Callithrix jacchus: one gene and its partner. The protein of the gene in region 2 purifies or fractionates together with the protein of the main gene of each other region. This does not show direct contact. Links are inferred from orthologs where the notes say so. Each region holds a gene or a part of one and is shown on either strand. Other genes may lie near its edges.

Region 1 (3,822 bases), on a different chromosome or scaffold from region 2:
AATATGTAACAAAATGGGTGTGCTTGTGTTCCAATAAAACTTTATTTACAAAAACAGCTAGTGGACTATAGTTTTCCCCTCCCTTGAGTTAGAAAAACCTCGCTTTTCTGCTTTTTGGCCTTTTTTCCCCTGCATTGTGTTCCATTTGTTTTGTTTTGAGACAGAGTCTCACTTTGTTGCCCAGATTGGAGTGCAATGGCACGATCTAGGCTCACTGCAACCTCTGCCTCCCAGGTTCAAGCAATTCTCCTGCCTCAGCCTCCTGAGTAGCTGGGACTGCAAGTGCGTGCCACTATGCCCAGCTAATGTGTTCTGTTTTATTTAAGATATAATTTAACATTGGCTAACTTCTTTCTGATAAAAATTATTAAAACTCCATACTAGTATTGAAGCTTTAAAAATTTAGCAGGAATTGCTATTCTGTTGATTTGTGAAATTAAAAAAAAAAAATTTTGACTAAGCACCCCCACTCTATGCCCTGATGTAAGACGTTAAAATCTGAAATAGTTCGTTTGCTCTCTTCACCCCCTCCCCAAAATATAGTGTGGTTTTAGCTAATTTATTACCTTTTATATGCCTGTTTTCATAACAGTTTGCTTTTATTTTTTCAGTCTCGGAGAAATCTATGTGAAGAGGCTTTGTTAAAAATTAAAGGTGTTATTAGCTTTACTTTTCAAATGGCTGTTCAAAGATGTGTGGTGCGAATCCGTTCAGATTTGAAAGCTGAGGTAAGTATTTGAAATGGCTGAATATGTTTGAGATTATAGGTAAACAAATAAATTTCAAAATTTTTCCTTTTTATCCTGGCTTAGGCTTTGGCATCAGCGATAGCATCAACCAAGGTTATGAAAGCTCAGCAAGTTGTGAAAAGCGAGAGTGGAGAAGAGGTAAAAGTTATATTTAGTTTTCTTTATATTGAACTCGCTCTCAATTATTTTTTATGGCTAGCAGATTGCCAGTATTTCTAAATAAATAGTGCCGAGTATGTAAGGATGTGTTGTTTCTTGGTTAATAGTTAATTGTTTTAGAAGTAGATCTTTTGTGGATATCAGAGTCTGCTCTTGCTGATTTTATATGGAAATAAAGGATACATGGCTTTCTTGCATTTATCTTTAAATACTTTCTTCCTAACCTTAACTAATCTTGACAATCCAAAAAATAAAGGTATAACAACTGGGCAAATAAATAGGATGAAAATCCTTGTCTGTTGCTACTCTTTTCACTAGCTTTTTGATGGGAGAAACAAATCTATGCCTTGAGCTCATTTGAGTTTCCAGCTCATAGTTGGGAGTTCCATGGCTCTCCAGTGGCCTGCAGTGGCTAGACACTTGCTTTAGTCACAATTACCCAGACAGAGGTTGCTCATTTACTCCTAGAATTTCAGCAGATTAACTTCTGAGTTCTCATGTACTCTGCTTACTCCCTTCTGTACTTACACAGTGCTTAGCAGTTGGGCCTACTGTCATGTAACAGCAAAGTTTACCCTGAGAATAACCACGGTAATTAGGGAGTAAAGTTGATTTTATAATGACTCTTAATATATTTTCTGTATCAGATGCTTGTCCCATTCCAAGATACTCCTGTGGAAGTAGAACAGAACACAGAGCTACCTGACTACCTGCCTGAGGATGAGAGTCCCACAAAGGAACAGGACAAAGCGGTGTCCCGGGTGGGATCACACCCAGAGGGTGGAGCTAGCTGGCTGAGCACAGCTGCAAACTTTTTATCCAGATCATTTTATTGGTGACTTCAGTTTGGGGCTCAAGGACTGTGTGAACCAACAAGGGGCCAGTTTTCCATTGTTTTGGTGAACTGTCAAGTGCAATTTGCAATAAGTTATCATGGAAGGTTTTTAGATTACGTGATTGCATATGCTGCATTTTACATTTCATTGGACATTTTACCCCACTGAGTGGTAAAAAGGACAGTGGCTATGGATGGAGTTGCTTTGTTTATGAAAGTATTTTGGTTTTGTTTTCCTTCATTTAATTGCCTCATATTTTAAAAACCATGGGTCCACTGTTGAAACCAAACATGTGTGTGCAGCTTTACATTTTATTTTACATGAAGCACGTGATTAGGAAAACTCGTTTTCTCCTCAAGCCTCAGGACCTACCTGAAGAAAAGTTTTCTTGTAGCTCAAGTTGTGCATGAATTACTGAATATTTTACTCTGCTTTTCTTCATGAAAGTTACATGCTTTGGTACTCCTCACTGAAAGCTGAAAACATTTCTTGTTACCCTCTTTTGTGCCTTTTTATTTTGCCAACCATGTTTATAGAAAGGACATTACTAATGACATTTTGAAAATTAAAAACATTTATTTGAACATGGTAGTCCCTTAGAAAAACAACTCTACAGAGATTTTGCAGCCTTATTCATTATAATTTTAATAAAATTAACACGATCAGTCAAGAAGAAGGAAACATGTATGTTAGTAAAGTGTTTTTGGAGACTATTTGAATGTGACTAAATGTGGTTCTAGTTGACTTCTTTTCACTTTGGTTTCTATCAGCTCTTGAGAGTTAAGTCCAACCACGATATTGCAAACAACTGTAAATGGTCTCTAGGCCTTACTTTGTGTTACACGTTATCTCCTGATAGAAAAAAATAATGATAGTAAAGAACTGACAAACTGAAAAAAAAAAAAAAAAATCAAATGCCTATAATAACATAACGCCACTTTGGTGTAGAGTCTAACTGTAAGACATGAATTGCTTGACCGAAGCCTATTCAGTAGGTGTTTCTTTGTATTGCCTTTCGTGAATTTATTTTGAAAATGCTGCAGTTGCATTGAATGATAAAGACCCAAATTATTGCTTAAGAAGAAATAAAACCAGCATTGATCACTTAATCCTGTTTCTCATGTCCAGCCAGAAAAACGAACTTCAGTGAAGGTAAGATAAATAAATACATATACATACAATTTTTTTTGGTAGATGAGTGCTAATTTACATATATGTAATGCTTTATTAAATTTCTGAAATATTTAGTAACAAAAGTTTTCTTTTTGGAAATTAAATCCAAATACATTTTAATGTTGATATGACTGAAAATGGGAAGAAATTGGAATTCCTTTTCATCAACATGTAGAGTTGCTATTTTACTATTTGGAGAATGCAATGTGAAAATTGGACCCCAAAGGGTTTTCTTGTGTTTTCATTGTAAAATACCATCACCAGTGAGAGTCTTGAGTTCACTAACATTGTGACCTTCTGGAGGGAGAGTTATAGGGGGTATTGAGGATGATTTTTTTCATGTGTCTGGTTTCCGATTCAAGTGACATGCACAAACTGAAAAACAAAAACAAAAAACCAAAACTCTGAGGGCGCCTGTTGCTCTAAACGCATAATAGAACTTGCTGCCAGACCAGATGTGTTGAAAAAGGAAAATAAAACCACCTTCTTTCTAGAGCCATTAAAGCAAAGTTTACTGTTCTAACAAATTTGTATTTTATTTTGCTTTGCCACACATCTGCTTATTTAAAAACTACATCCCTTTGGTAGTAATGGTTCAGGACAAGTAGGTATTACTGCTTGATGTTTGTGTGTTTGAAGTGTGTTCTTTTATTCCAGATCATATAGAGCAGTTAAGGCAACTGTAACAGCATTTTTTGAAATACATTGTAAAATAATAAAAGGTAACATAATTAAAATTGATTGGATATTATGTAAATGTGGTATAAGCATCACTAATTACTCCTTTTATTTTTAAATTTTATTTTAAGTTCTGGGATACATGTGCAGAACGTGCAGGTTTGTTACATAGGTATACATGTGCCATGGTGGTTGGCTGCACCTATCAACTCGTCATCTAGGTTTTA
Region 2 (3,822 bases):
TCTTGGCTCACCGCAACCTCTGCCTCCTGGGTTCAGGCAACTCTCCTGCCTCAGCCTCCTGAGTAGCTGGGATTACAGGCACACGCCACCATGCCCAGCTAATTTTTTGTATATTTTTTAGTAGAGACGGGGTTTCACCATGTTGACCAGGATGGTTTTGATCTCCTGACCTCGTGATCCACCCGCCTCGGCCTCCCAAAGTGCTGAGATTACAGGCGTGAGCCACCGCGCCCGGCTTTTTATTTTCTTCCTGCGCCAGATGTCTCCCAGGTGACCAGGGTGGACCTCAGGGGCCTGAGGTTAAAACCCAGCAGCAGTTCCACACTCGCACAGCCTTGGAAGTCACAGCTGAGCCTGGCTGCTGTGTTTACTTGTCTGGGTGACTTTCAAACAACCCTTCAATGTTAATTTGATGCAGCTCACTTTGTTCGGCAGAACTGGCGGTTACATGGCCACCAGTCAGTGAACCATTGCACTGAAGAGAGCACCTGCCTTCTGAATTGTGCAGGGAAAAGTTAGCCCATAGGCTTTTTGCTCAAAGGGAACAAACATGCTGAGTTGCAGGGCCTGGATTTCTGGAAGTTGGCATCTCATAGGAAACCTTGTTTTTCTATCCTAATTTTAAACTGTGAGGCAGACTGACGGACTTTTCAGATATGAGACATATTTTTCTTTCTTTTTTCTTTGAGACAGAGTTTTGCTCTTGTCTCCCAGGCTGGAGTGCAATGGTGTGATCTTGACTCACTGCAATCTCTGCCTCCTGGGTTCACGTAATTCTCCTGCCTCAGCCTCCCGAGTAGCTGGGATGACAGGCAGGTGCCACCATGCCCAGCTAATTTTCATATTTTTAGTAGAGACGGGTTTTCACCGTGTTGGCCAGGCTTATGAGACCTATTTTCCTTTTAGTGCCAGTCAACTTATGGAAGTTTGATACTTGGTACCATGTTGCACCACAACGGGGCCCCCTGGGTGGCTCTGGGGGTGAACTTTGAGAGTGTAAATGTTCGGAAATAGGCTTTGCACGGACAACATAACTCAGCCAACAGACGTTCTTACCTCTCCCCATCCCTTTGCGGAAGTTACTCGTCTGAGCGCAAAGTTAACGGAACCCCCTCCATTCCCATTCTGGGTTGAGAGGCTTCCAGAGAGGATGGCTGTGTCTGTCGCTGTCAAGGGTGCCTAAAAATGATATTTGCTGGTAATAAATGAATCAAAACAACAGAAAGTGCCAATGGCAGCAGCCCAAAGAACACACTGTGAGCCCACGGCCAAAGGTGCAGATGACTCCGCTGTTCAGAAGGACATATGGATGCAGGATTATTGAAGCAGCTTGACTTTTCTTCCGCTTTGTTATTTGGTCTGCATGTGACCATGAGGATAATATGTTTTGCAGAAGCTTGAATGGGCAAATTTCACCACACCAGGGGAAACATGGGGCTGCATGTCCCAATGGTATCAGACTGCATAGGGACTTCATTGTGTGCCTTCCCTCTGTGGTACACCTGGGCCTCTCCTGTCCTCGGTTGCCATCAGGGTTCTGGGGGGATTGAAGACCTTGCCATAGCTGTATTCTGTATTAACTGACTTGGGGAGCTCCAGTGGGGGCAAATTTCCCCAAGTTAGGACTTCACACTGTTGGTTGATGCATTTGATAATAAATTAATGAACTGAGGAGACACAGATCTACTATAAATGCTCAGGAGAATGGCCTGACCTTGCCACATCCAAACAGTGGGCAGAATGGTGACATTTTCATGTGCCCAGGGCTCAGGATGGGAGCTGCTATAGCCTTACGGCTCCTAGCAGAATCTGCCTTAAAACTAAAAGCGGTTGTTAGAACGATCCACGGAAGTCTTCGTTCTCTCCCAGAACCCCATGACCTTGGGCCTCTACTTCTCCCAGACCATTCACACCCTCTGCTGGAAAGGCCCGAGGCCTTGGGAGCCCAGCGCCCCAGCCCACACTCCTGCGGGCCCACATGCCAGCACAGCAGTAACACGAGGCTGGGACTGAAGCGCTTTCTTTTTTAAGTGGCTAATTGCATCTTTTCATAAATAAAGATGAGAAAAACCCTGGGCAGACTCTCATTCTAGCTGCTTGGTGTGCTGTGCCTCATTAACTCGAGCCCTTGCTGTACTTAGAGAGGTGGTTGTGTGCTTTACCTCAATGGACTGGGATATGTGCATTTTATTAATTTCAATCTGTGGAAAGCCACTGCCGGACACATCTTCGTACTCCTCGTCATAGCGATCGAAAAGGTCAGTGGCATCTACTCCAACACTGATGGTTCCCTGGGGCAGAAAAATAAGCCGTCAGCAGAAGGGGTGGTATTTGCAGAATGAAAGACAATACTACAGTTAACAGCCAGCTTGCTTGAACTGAACAAGTCATCAGACGTCAGGGTGCACTGGTTTAGGTAGGACACTCCACTAGGAAGCCCACAAAGCATGAATGTCACAGTCTGAACCAAACGACCGCAGAGCACCACAGACGTCCGGAGCTAGAAAACATTTGACAGGGAAAGCCGGTCTGCCTGTCTGCAGAGCAATGACATGCCAAACACAAAGTGCTAGTCAGAGAAGTAACAGCTCCATGGTTTGATTTTCAGACCAAACAGGACCCAGAAATGCATAAGACCACCTAGAAATTAGCTGTATGGATTAAACACTTTTTTGTAAACACCCTTATACCACAAAACTACCCTAACACTCTTTAAATAAAAACGTCTTCCAAGATGAAGCAGCACTAATTACAAACAAATGGGAGACTTAAAAATTAATCCACCTTCTCAAATTAACTTGAGAATTAAGTTATGAGAAACAGAACACTGTTCACTCAAGGAATTCTAAGCTAAAATTTTGCTGATAAAAACGCTTGTCACTCAGAAAATCAATGTTTATTATTATTCTTTTATAGTCATAACTTTAAAAATGGACATGTATCTTAATCCAGTGTATAAAACCATGGCCACACACATTTTAAATGAAACTTTTTGCAGCCCATTTAAAAAAAATCAATTGAGGTTTAATTTATGTATTGCAGTATAAACCGCACCCATCTGAAGTACACAATTCCGTGAGTTTTTGACATGTGTACGCTGGTGAAACTACCTGGTGAATTCTATCACCCCCTAAGTAGCTTGAGAGTATTTTAAGTGGTGAAGAAAGGGGCTTCTGAGAAGGGGGTGTGGGAACAAAAAATCAAATGAGAATACCCTTGTGGGCACCCAGTGGAGAGGCGAGGAGGCCTTAGGGCTAGAGCAGACGGGGCAATGGCAGATGAGTTCAGATGGTGTGTGGGTGGTCTCTAGAGTGTCATAGGTGGGGTTTAACCTGTTGTTTCTGTTGGTTTAGCCATTCGCCCAGCTTTTTCACTTTTATGCCAGAGTCGGTTTTGCAGATGGACTGTCACTTGTAATTCTAGCATCTGCCATGGTCTTATCTCACGTGTGAGGCGCACAGTGGCTTTAGGACACAGCCGGTGAGAGCCCACCACTCTTCTGCCGTTTCTTTGCAGATGAACTGCAGGAGGCAGCTCCCTTTCTAGGATGGGTGTGTGTGGTGTGCGCTGACAGTGGTGAGGTGCAGCTTACTCCTGGCCTCAGTAGTGGGGAAGTATCAGATGCTGCTACATGGCGTAGCTAGTGGTGGCCAGAGCCTTGGCCTGTGGGATGGCTGAAGCTGTCAAGCCCATGGTCAGCCACATCCCTAGGAAACTCCAAATACATATGAAAATGGGAAACACAGGTGGCCTGTGATGCAGAGCCTGTCAGAGAGCACCCTGAGCACCCTGTTACAATGTTTCTGTGCCTGTTGAATGATA

The links.
Region 1: the proteins of DNAJC11 (region 2) and ARMC1 purify together in Homo sapiens (affinity purification with mass spectrometry; 4 studies listed by BioGRID and IntAct, counting the BioPlex papers as one, with this or other methods). This does not show direct contact. The link is inferred for Callithrix jacchus from reciprocal best matches to the Homo sapiens genes DNAJC11 and ARMC1.

The regions. Positions count from the first base shown.
Region 1 is NC_133517.1:21,485,079-21,488,900, reverse strand, and holds the end of ARMC1 (armadillo repeat-containing protein 1), read left to right. Parts: intron 1-611; coding exon 612-728; intron 729-812; coding exon 813-887; intron 888-1,555; coding exon 1,556-1,747; 3' UTR 1,748-3,654; downstream 3,655-3,822.
Region 2 is NC_133508.1:44,553,119-44,556,940, forward strand, and holds part of DNAJC11 (dnaJ homolog subfamily C member 11), read right to left. Parts: intron 2,292-3,822; coding exon 2,163-2,291; intron 1,180-2,162; coding exon 1,057-1,179; intron 1-1,056.